3 linked regions of the Macaca fascicularis genome follow. The protein of the gene in region 2 binds, or shares a complex with, the protein of the main gene of each other region. Links are inferred from orthologs where the notes say so. Each region holds a gene or a part of one and is shown on either strand. Other genes may lie near its edges. The genes, in order: PLAAT3, KRAS and SOS1.

Region 1 (3,650 bases), on a different chromosome or scaffold from region 2:
GAAGAAGTGCAAGAAAATGGGAGGAGAAAACGAGATTGAAAGGAGAGGAATGACAAAAATAAAATCAAGTAAATGAACAAAACTGCATCCCCTAGTGTCTCCCAGATTCACCCTTAGGGTTCAGCCAAGCTGAAGACAGTGCTGTTTAGAAGCATGATCCGGCTATGCCACACAGACCTGGGCTTCAAATCCCAGCTCTGCGAATTATCTGCACAGGAAAAGACAGGTACCAGGTCTGGAGACTCAACAAAGATTTTTTTGATGAAACGAATGGCTGTAGACAAGTTACTTAAGCTCAGTTTCCCAATCTGTAAGGTAGTGGGTCCTAAAACCTGCCTTTAGGGCTGGGAGGGCCATCTCAGGGACACGTGGCTAGGGAGGGCTTGGTAACAGGAATGAATATCATGTCTGTGACTCCCTTCCTTGGCCACTCACCCCCGGCCCCGACTACACTGATCTGCCAACTTGCCTCTTTCCCCACCCTTGTCCCCACTCCAACTGTGACATCCTTAAGGGCAGTAATTCTGTCTCTGCTACTTTGTCTTGTTCATGCTTCCATAGCCATGCCCAGCCTCCGTCAGCTGAGGGAATGGTCTTGTTCCTGGGAAAGGCCACATGGGCGGAGGACGCACCTGGTCACTGCGGGCGACTCCATAGCGCAGCTCGTTCACAAAGTGCTCGCAGTTCTCGCTGGTCAGCTTGTAGAGCACCTCCTGCCCCACCAGCTCCTCCGCCCGCTGGATGATTTTGCTATAGGGCAGCGGTGAGTACTTGTCATCATGTTTGTTGTTGACCTGGTACTTGTCACTCCCGGCCACATCATACAGCAATTCCTTCTTCACGATGGCCTTGTCAGTCAGGGCAGACATGACACTGGCTGCACCCGCTCCTGCAACCTCACCTGCAGATCCACAAAGAGGAAACGGATTGGTTCTGGGAAGGGCCACAGAGGCTCAGAGATGGCCCCCAGCAGGGTATCTGCCTTTGGCTCCATCCACGTAGGATAAGCAACATGTGGAAGGGTCAGATGCGTGGCTGTGGGCCTTGGGGGAAGGTGTGTGCCCATAATCCCAGCTACTCAGGAGGCTGAGGCAAGAGAATCGCTTGAACCTGGGAGGTGTAGGTTGCAGTGAGTCCAGATTGCACCACTGCACTCCAGCCTAGGCAACAGAGCGAGACTCTGTCTCAAAAAAAAAAAAAAGATAAAAATAAAACATTCCAGAAGGCCAGGCGTGGTGGCTCACACCTGTAATCCCAGCACTTTGGGAGGCTAAGGCGGGCAGATCACTTAAGGTCAGGAGTTTGAGATCAGCCTGGCCAACATGGTGAAATACCATCTCTACTAAAAATACAAAACTTAGCTGGGCGTGGTGGCACACGCCTGTAATCCCAGCTACTCCAGAGGCTGAGGCAGGAGACTCGCTTAAACCCAGGAGGCAGAGGTTGCAGTGAGCCAAGATCATGCCACTGCACTCCAGCCTGGGCCACAGAGCAAGACTCCGCCTCAGAAAAAAAAAAAAAAAAAAAAAAAAGAGGGTCTATAACAGTTCTATTCATAGCAGTCAAAACCTGCAATGAGTCTGATGTCAGAAAAATGGATGCTAAATTGTGGCATATTCATATAACGGAAAATACACAGCAGTGAAAAAGATCTCCTGCTACTCACAGCAGCATGGATGACTCACATGGGCATGATGTTTGCTAAAAGAAGCCAGACACAAAAGAGTGTGGGCCGTGTGATACCTCTTCCATGAAGTTCTAGAACAGGCAAACCTCATCTACGGCAGGAAAAGCTAGAATGATGGTTGCCTGGGCGAGGGGTGCAGAGGGGATATTGTAGAAGCACGAGAGAACCTTTCAGGGTAAGTGGCACAGTGGGAATGTTCTAGTTGTTGATCTGGGACATTGTTACATAGATGGATTTTTTTTTTTTTTAATTCACTGACTGTATACTTTACTATGCTTGTACATTTTACAATATTTATGTTATACCCCAGTTTAAGTTAAAGGCTTAAGAGAAGGGTGAGGAGTTCTCACGAGAGTTCTCCAAGTTAAGTATTCATATCCTCAGTTTGCAAAAAAGGAAACCAAGGCTGAAGAATGGAAACTGGATTCATAACCAGTCTCTCTGCCAAACACCCGCACTCTTCCCAGGAGCTTTACGCTTAAGAGTTGAGTGTGTTGCGGCCGGGCGCGGTGGCTCACGCCTGGAATCCCAGCACTTTGGGAGGCCAAGGTGGGTAGATCACAAGGTCAGGAGATCGAGACCATCCTGCCTAACACAGTGAAACCCCATCTCTACTAAAAATACAAAAAATTAGTCCGGTGTGGTGCCAGGCACCTGTGGTCCCAGCTACTCAGGAGGCTGAGGCAGGAGAATGGTGTGAACCCGGGAGGCAGAGCTTGCAGTGAGCTGAGATCATGCCACTGCACTCCAGCCTGGGCAACAGAGTGAGACTCTGTCAAAAAAAAATTTTTGTTTGAGTGTGTTGCATACAAAGTCACAGCATAAAAAAAATCAAAGCAGAGCTCCCTCCTCAGATACCACCTCGGTCCCTCTAAAGCAGCGGTCCCCAACCTTTTTAGCATCAGGGGCAGGTTTTGTGGAAGACAATTTTTCCATGGACTAGGCAGGGGGGAGGGATGGTTTGGGGATGATTCAAGCACATGACGTTTATTGTGCACTTTATTTCTATTATTATTACATTGTAATATATAACGAAATAATCATACAACTCACCATAATGCAGAATCAGTAGGAGCCCTGAGCTTGTTTTCCTGCAACTAGACAGTCCCTTCTGGGGTGATGTGTGACAGTGACAGATCATCAGGCATTAGATTCTCATAAGGAGTGATATGGTTTGGCTCTGTATCCCCACCCAAATCTCATGTTGAACTGTAATCCCCACATGTCAGGGGAGGGACTATGTGGGAGGTGATTGAATCATGAGCAAGATTTCCCTCATGTTGTTCTCATGATAATGAGCGAGATTTCCCTCATGTTGTTCTCATGATAATGAGTGAGTTCTCACAAGATCTGATGGTTTAAAAGTGTGGCACTTCGGATGCGGTGGCTCATGCCTGTCATCCCAGCACTTTGGGAGACTGAGGCAGGTGGATCTCCTGAGGTCCAGAGTTCAAGACCAGCCTGACCAATATGATGAAAATCCATCTCTACTAAAAATAGAAAAATTAGTCGGGTGTGGTGGCAGGTGCCTGTAATCCCAGCTACTCGGGAGGCTGAGACAGGAGAATCACTTGAACCCGGGAGGTGGAGTTTGCAGTGAGCTGAGATTGTACCATTGCACTCCAGCCTGGGCAACAAGAGCAAAACTCTGTCTAAAAAAAAAAAAAAGTGTGGTACTCCCCTGCCTCCCAACACCGTGTAAGACCTGCCTTGCTTCCCCTTCACCTTCTGCCATAATGGTAAGTTTCCCAAGGCCTCCCCAACCATGCAGAATTGTGAGTCAATTAAACCTCCTTTCAGTCTCAGGTAGTTCTTTATAGCAGTATGAAAACAGATAAATACAAGGAGTGTGCAACCTAGATTCCTTGCGTGTGCAGTTCATAGTAGGGTTCATGATCCTATGGGAATCTAATGCCGCTGCTGATCTGACAGGAGGCGGAGCTCAGGCGGTAATGCAAGCGAT
Region 2 (4,100 bases):
CTCAAGCGATCCTCTTGCCTCAGGGATTACAAGCAAGAGCCAATTTGCCCGGCCCCTTCAATAATAATTTCTAAGAGTGTAGGCCCGGTATGGCGGCTCACGCCTGTAATCCCAACACTTTGGCAGGTTTAGGCGGGCGGATCACCTGAGGTCAGGAGGCCGAGACCAGCCTGGCCAACATGGTGAAATCCCGTATCTAAAAACACAAAAATTAGCCCGGTGACGGGAGCCTGTAATCCCGGCTACACGGGAGGCTGAGGCGGGAGAATCGCTTGAGCCTGGGAGTCGGAGGTGGTAGTGAGCCGAGATAGCGCCACTGCATTCTGGCCTGGGTGACAGAGTGAGACTCACTCTCTCAAAAAAAAGAAAGAGCGTAGAGGGGTCCTTAAGGCCAAAAAGTTTACCAGCCTAGTAAATACTGTGGACAGACACTGGATTAGAGTTTGTGTATATGTACGAATTCACAGCCACATATATCTTCTGGTTTACTTGTTTATGCGGTGGTTGTTTCCAGGAAAAAAAAAAAAATTCTTTGAATGAGATTTTTAAAACCAAGTCACATTTAAATCCACTAGAGAGAACTGGGCTCCAAAGTAGTCTTATCAAATGAAGATCATGGGCTGGGAGGAGCTCCCTTACTCACAGTTAGAAAAGCTAATAAGGAGTGGACTGGACTCAAATCCAACAATTTTGTTATGGAAGAAAATTCATTTTTATTTGTCATAAAACGGAATTACCATCCACCATCTCTTAAAAGCAAGTACACTGTGTATGGCTACAGTCTCAAAGTAAACTAATGTTAGCAACCATATTTGATATCTGTAGTCTATCACATGTAGGAGTCAGCATTTTGGACCTTAGTCACTTCAGTGACACCAGTTATATGGTTAATTCTGAGCTGATAATTACAAATAGACCTTTCCCCTTTATCACTTAGTTTTTAAATGCTATTATAAACATAACGTATATATTGTATAACAATTAGAAAACCTTTCTGTTTTGATAGAGCTCAAGATTTAAGAAGGCTTAGACTTCAGCTAGAAGATGCATAAGGCACTTTGGGAGGCCGAGGTGGGCGGATCACAAGGTCAGGAGTTCGAGACCAGCCTGGACAATATGGTGACACCCCTGTCTCTATGAAAAATACAAAAAATTAGCCGGGCATGGTGGCAGACACCTATAAACCCAGTTATTCGGGAGGCTGAAGCAGGAGGATTGCTTGAACCCAGGAGGCGAAGGTGGCAGTGAGCCGAGACGGCGCCACTGCACTCCAGCCTGGGCAACAGAGCAGATGGAGACCATCCTGGCCAACATGGTGAAACCCCTTCTCAACTAAAAATACAAAAATTAGTTGGGCACGGTGGCGGGCGCCTGTAGTCCCAGCCACTCAGGAGGCTGAGGCAGGAGAATCGCTTGAACCCTGGAGGCAGAGGTTTCAGTGAGCCGAGACCACGCCATTGCACTCCAGCCTGGGCGACAGAGCGAGGCTCCATCTCAAAAAAATAAAAAATAAAAAAGGAGATGCACATGTTTAAGTCTATTTCAGGCGGTTAGCTGGTGGATTGCTACAATTCCTCTGTAAGTTTAAAAAATCATGTAAAAAAAAATCACGTTAAGTGCTCTTTTGGAGTACTGTAATAACTCGTGAGATGTAGAACACATCTGCAAAATGAGGATATTATAGAAGAAATAAGGGATGAGAGTAATACATAAGAAATAAGGGGAAGGACAAGAACAGGTAAATTAAACTTCAAGTACTATTTTTGCTATTGCTGTCTACACTCAACTAGCAAGAAAAAAGCCTTGCTTCTGCTCTGCGGGTTTTCTTCGGGGTTTAACTTGACCAAGCAAAACAGACCTTCTGGGATTAACTTTTTCCTTTTCACTGTAGGTCACAGGTTCTACGTGTAGGGTGTTGGCCACCTGTTCTTCCACCATCTCTACCTCCACCTCCTCCTTTGTGGCCACAGCAATGTCACAGCCCATACATGGGGGAGGGGAGCAGTCAGGAACTCGGAGGCAGATGCATTTTTTTCCAAACACAATAACCTCCAACAGTGGTCTCTAAGCACTTTCCTACGCTCTTCCAAAACGTGACCTCGCCTCTTACTCACACATCCCCTACACACGGAAAAGGACCACTATCCCGTCCATCCTGCGCTCGAGGGAGAAGTTTATACCTTCGTCCTAGAGATGCCAAATGCAGCAGGGAAGGCTGGACCGAGGCAGCCGAGTGCTGGGAAGGGAGGCAAAAGGTGCGGGAGCAGGGAGAGGGGGAGGGGAGGCCGGGGCGCAGCGGGAGTAACCTCCACCGCACCCCACCGCCCCGAGGGGCAGCCGGCCCGGCCCGAGTTTCTCCCCAGCAGCCTCCAGCCGCGGCTCTCGGGGAGGAGGAAGGAAGGGGTTCCCCGTCCAGGAAGCAGCACAAGCGCCGACCGCCTCCAGCCTCACCCTCCTCAGCCCCGCACCGCCCATTCCTCACTCCCCGCGCCGCCGCGTCCGCGCGCCTCCCCTTGCAGAGCCCCCTCACCCCGCCCGCCCCGGCCCCGCGCCCGCGCCCCCCGCCCGCCCCTCCCGGGACCCCTAATTCATTCACTCGCCGCCGGCCCCGCCCGGCGCCGGCAAAGAGGGTCGGGACCCGGGCAGGGGCCCAGGAGGGGTGGTCCGCCTCGTACCTCTCTCCCGCACCTGGGAGCCGCTGAGCCTCTGGCCCCGCCGCCGCCTTCAGTGCCTGCGCCGCGCTCGCTCCCAGTCCGAAATGGCGGGGGCCGGGAGTACTGGCCGAGCCGCCGCCACCGTCGCCGCCGCCACTGCCGCCGCCGCTGCTGCCTCCGCCGCCGCGGCCGCCGCCTAGGAAAATCGAGCTCCGAGCACACCGATGAGTTCGGGGCCGGGCGGCCGCAGAGGGCAGAGCTATCGATGCGTTCCGCGCTCGATTCCTCTTCAGACGGGCGTACGAGAGGGAGCGGCTGAGGGCGGTGTGGGAAGAGGGAAGAGGGGGAGGCCGCGAGCGCCGGCGGGGAGAAGGAGGGGGCCGGGCCGGGCCCGCGGGGGAGGAGCGGGGGCCGGGCCGGCGGAGGAAGGGGTGGCTGGGGCGGTCTAGGGTGGGGAGCCGGGCCGGCTGGAGAGCGGGTCTGGGCGGCGCCTTGGCGGGAGGAGGGACTGCCGGACCCACGCGGCGGCCCGCCCCCTGCCTCGCCGCAAGGCGGTCCCCGCAGCCGCGGATTCTGACCCTGAGCGGGACCCGACCGCGGAGGGCTGTGCGGACGCCATCGGGGAGACGCCGCGAGCGGCCACGCCACGAGCGGCCCGGCTGACCGGTCTCCACAGAGAAGCTGCGAAGAGCGCCCCGCCGCCCTCGGGGTCGGCCTATACTGGCGCGCATCCATTTACTATCATTGACTGCATGTAAATAAACAAGCAGTCACCAAAAGTGGGAGGCGACTTCGGGTACTTAGGGAGACCCGGCGGACGATTTCCCACACCAGGGCTTTCCGATCGCCGCCCCGATTATTATCAGCCTCAGCACTCGGGCTGCGAATTTAGCCCCAGGCCCAAACAAACGCGACAGACCCTTTCAGCGCTAATCTCGGGTAGGAGGTTTGTGATATTTTGCTATCTTTCTTGATATTTTGAACCCCATCACAAGGTCTCTAAACAGGGACTTCGCATATACCCATGGCCCCTGAAATCACAAACAAAAGACAACTGTTGTTAAGTAGAGGTGCCCTCGCTAGTTTAGACCTGAGGAGAGTCATTCAAACATTAATTAGAAGACAGATTAATCAGTTAACGTTTGTAGAGTTAAGATATTAAACAATGGGGCAATTAAACATGCTAGCATACCCGGAGTCTGTGTTGATAAACTACCTAGAAAGGTACGTTGGGAGGGACTTGAGGATTGAGGGGTGGAAAACCAACGCCTGTGTGTGATAGGATCGCCCCTCCTCCGAGACTCTACTTTCAGTTCCATTTCTCTAGTCCACATCATAAACCACCAATAAAGCTGAATTTAAATCCGAGCTATTGTGTCTGTTAACCAAGGCTTTACATTAACTGTCATCTTTTCTACTCTTGTACGGGCTGTATTCTGCAAGGTT
Region 3 (3,139 bases), on a different chromosome or scaffold from region 2:
TAAACAAAAAGGATTCAACTCTAACAAATAAATAAGAAAATAGGATAGACTGCTTAATGACGGTGCAGTTAACATACCTTCTGGTCTTAAAGGACTACATACTGTACTATCGTGATGTACATTTTGCGCTCTAATAAATATCATAGGAAATTATTAAAGTACTAGGTTCCCACCATGTTGCAGCACTTCTACAAATGTCTCTTAATAGCGTGGTTAACAGAATTGCTGAAATGTTGCTTCATTATTCAGAGGATACATGCAGATGCTGATGAACCAGATAACTCTCTAAGGATGGAATACTGCACATTTCACAGACATTATAGTGGAGATTAATAAAATGTTTTCTCTTCAACAAGGTGCATGCATTTCAGTCACAGTATTTGTTAGACTCAGAATAACAGTACATACGCTTTATGAATAATCCATATTATGATAGTAATGATGCAGGTAGATGTTCTGTCATGAATAGTTTTGATAAAGCAGAAAACCTCAAGCAAGGTAGAATGTTCAATAGAAACCTTAACACACTGTACACATGTTGCTTAGGAACTTAAAACTTACAAAGTTCTGCTTAAAAGATACCCATCCTATTCTAACCAAGTATCTTCCTATATGCCAAGCTGTGACTTTAGATCATTCTTTAAGATTAATACATATATCCAGAACTAGAAACCAAGGCGTACCACAAAACGTGCTTTTATGTTTAGTGTTTTTGTGTGTTTTTCAACTAAAAGAAATAAGAATCAACCATTTTCTTCATATAATAATTTAATATATGCCAGCCAAACAAAGTATTTGTATCTTTATTCAATTAAATTAAAACAGACCTGCCAGGTATATTATATAACATTCACTATATACATATGATTTAGGCAATGCAAGATAATTCTAGATATGCTGATTACTCAACTATGAGTAAAACATGAGCGGTGTCAGTGATGCCCAGCAAGTGCTCCTTTTCACATTGGGTGTCTGCATTTCCATGGTATGGTTAGAGGGATAGCTACGAGCCATGACATGGACTACCAGTAAACTTTTGTGGGAGAAGGAGGGAAAATGACAATCTAGCATAGATTAACAGTCTCCTAAATGCAAATAGAATACTTGACAGTTATGTTTTTTTAAAAAGTTCTTCTGTCATGTTAATGACACAAAACTTCTTTTTTGAAGGCAACACCACCACATTTTGTTTGGGTGTGTGGGGACAGGTGGGGAATGCTCTTAAAATTGGTATAATTATTCCTAAAACAACAACAACAACAAAAAAGTACCTCTTTGGTGAAGCCTCGGTACCCATTCAGTTCACCGTAATAATCTGTAAACAGGACTGTAGTACAGTGCCGGGCCTTGATTTCAACAAGGTCAGGTACCACAGCCTTTCCTCACAGTCCTTTGAGTGATTTTTAAGAAAATATTCTGAAGTAGAAGAGTAAAGCAAAGGAAAACAAAGGAAGATATTAAGATCCCTGTTTACATTTTTTTTTAAAAGTGCATAATTTGAATTACAAAACCTGTCATCATGTGGGCCTGCTGGACACTAGACTGTGTTTTCCATCCCTTTAATGATCACTTCACAAAAGATCACTTCACAAACACTTCCCAAAAAGAGGACTCCTGCCTATTGGCCAGAAAAAGTCCCTTTATGATTTTCAGGTGCAATCAGTTGTCCAATTCCTCTAGGTCAGTCTTTCCATATTCTAAACTGGAATACCATTTCCATGTTATAATTACATCTAGGTTAAAATTCATTGTCTTATACTGCATCTTGAAGAAGAGTCGTTAGTGTTTGGAGTTCTCATTTTAACTCCTCAGTGCTGGCACGTTCAGTGCATCCATTGCCAGCAATGGATTTGGGGCCAGGAAAATATACATCCCAGTACAGAGGAACTCAAGAAGAATGGGCATTCTCCAACAGTGGTGGTCCATCTCTGTGCATGGATGGGTGTGTGTGCTCCCTTTTGTAAGTTTTTGGAGGGAGTTTAGGGATATGTTGAGAAGTGCTTTGTCGTGGAGGAACAGGCGGCCCAGCAATGGAATGAAGGTCCACTTCTTGTGTCAATGGTGGTGATGGCAGATGCCTTCTTGTGCCGTGAGGAGAAGGTGTTTGAGGAGGAGGTGGTGTAAAGGGGGATGGGCTGTTTGGGAAGAAGGCATTGCCATGGTCACTTTTTTTGCCCAAAGGGGGAGGTTGGAGATGTAGTGGTGAGCTTGAGAAAACATCAGGTGTCCTCACAGGTTCTCGTGGTGGTAATAAGGGAGGGCTTTCAGGAGGGTCTGAGATAGAGGTCCGGTCTGATATTGAATATCGTGGTGAATAGGCTTTTGATGTGGGTTGCCTAGGAGGAATGGCTGGGGGGCTGTCCAAATGCTTAGACATAATCTAACAAATGAAAAGAAGAATAAAATACACATTTATTAATAAATTTATGAAGTATCATGACTATAAGAATTAAGTTGGGGTTTTCAAACATGCTATTGGCAGGATGCTAAGTGTGGAACAGGGAGTTTTGCCGTATGTTTCCTTTGTAATTAAAAAAATTTTTTTTGAGACAAGGCCTTGCTCTATTGCCCAGACTGGAGTACAGTGGTGCAATCATGGCTCACTGTAGCCTCAACTTCCTGGGCTCAAGTGATCCCCCGACCTCAGCATCCCAAGCAGCAAGGACCACCATGGCTGGCTAATTTTTTCATTTTTTGTAGTCAAGGTCTTGCTCTGTTGCCAAGGCTGGCATGTGTTTTAAATGGAAGGTTCTGCCAATTCATAGAAAAAAAAAGTTTGCCAAAGTTTTTACTTAAATTTTTTTCCTCAAAATTTTGTTGTTTGCTACTGCTTACTGACTTAGCTTATCAATCAAAGATCATTTCTAATTTAGCATAAATTGCCTATTTTATAATTTTAAATTAACTATATTAACATTCATGAAGTTGTACAAAGAGTGTCTTGACTTACCCTGGTGCTCTGCACTCTGGACAGCTTAAGAACTAATGCGTTAAGTTAACAGCTGGCCCCCCCGCCAAAAAAAGTAGGTAGAAATAGCTATTTTGAGCCTTTAGGGTCTCTTCCAAACCCAGAATTTTCATGAAAACTCCATTTAAAAGTATGTCAGATTTACTATTAAGGGCTCAGATAAGTAAATTT

Evidence for each region.
Region 1: the proteins of KRAS (region 2) and PLAAT3 are in contact, whole or in part, in a crystal structure (PDB 7C41), measured with the Homo sapiens proteins. The link is inferred for Macaca fascicularis from reciprocal best matches to the Homo sapiens genes KRAS and PLAAT3. Residues at the interface, in NP_001356715.1 of Homo sapiens: Ala11, Gly13, Lys16, Ser17, Tyr32, Asp33, Pro34, Thr35, Ile36, Thr58, Ala59, Gly60, Gln61, Asn85, Asn86, Lys88, Asp92, Tyr96, Lys117; in NP_001121675.1 of Homo sapiens: Leu65, Tyr66, Asp67, Val68, Ala69, Gly70, Ser71, Asp72, Lys73, Tyr74.
Region 3: the proteins of KRAS (region 2) and SOS1 are in contact, whole or in part, in a crystal structure (PDB 8BE4), measured with the Homo sapiens proteins. The link is inferred for Macaca fascicularis from reciprocal best matches to the Homo sapiens genes KRAS and SOS1. Residues at the interface, in NP_001356715.1 of Homo sapiens: Ser17, Ala18, Ile21, Gln25, Asp30, Glu31, Tyr32, Pro34, Thr35, Glu37, Tyr40, Asp54, Ile55, Leu56, Asp57, Thr58, Ala59, Gly60, Gln61, Glu63, Tyr64, Ser65, Ala66, Met67, Arg68, Asp69, Gln70, Tyr71, Arg73, His95; in NP_005624.2 of Homo sapiens: Lys602, Trp809, Thr810, Lys814, Leu822, Met824, Ile825, Arg826, Thr828, Thr829, Thr832, Leu833, Leu872, Val875, Ser876, Asn879, Ser880, Ser881, Pro882, Tyr884, Ser908, Asp910, His911, Tyr912, Lys913, Phe929, Phe930, Gly931, Ile932, Leu934.

What each region holds. Positions count from the first base shown.
Region 1 is NC_088388.1:10,818,275-10,821,924, reverse strand, and holds part of PLAAT3 (phospholipase A and acyltransferase 3), read right to left. Parts: intron 902-3,650; coding exon 633-901; intron 1-632. UniProt on the Homo sapiens protein: Exhibits both phospholipase A1/2 and acyltransferase activities. Shows phospholipase A1 (PLA1) and A2 (PLA2) activity, catalyzing the calcium-independent release of fatty acids from the sn-1 or sn-2 position of glycerophospholipids.
Region 2 is NC_088385.1:27,972,658-27,976,757, forward strand, and holds the start of KRAS (GTPase KRas), read right to left. Parts: upstream 2,855-4,100; 5' UTR 2,676-2,854; intron 1-2,675. UniProt on the Homo sapiens protein: Ras proteins bind GDP/GTP and possess intrinsic GTPase activity. Plays an important role in the regulation of cell proliferation.
Region 3 is NC_088387.1:83,183,397-83,186,535, reverse strand, and holds part of SOS1 (son of sevenless homolog 1), read right to left. Parts: intron 2,381-3,139; coding exon 1,889-2,380; 3' UTR 1-1,888.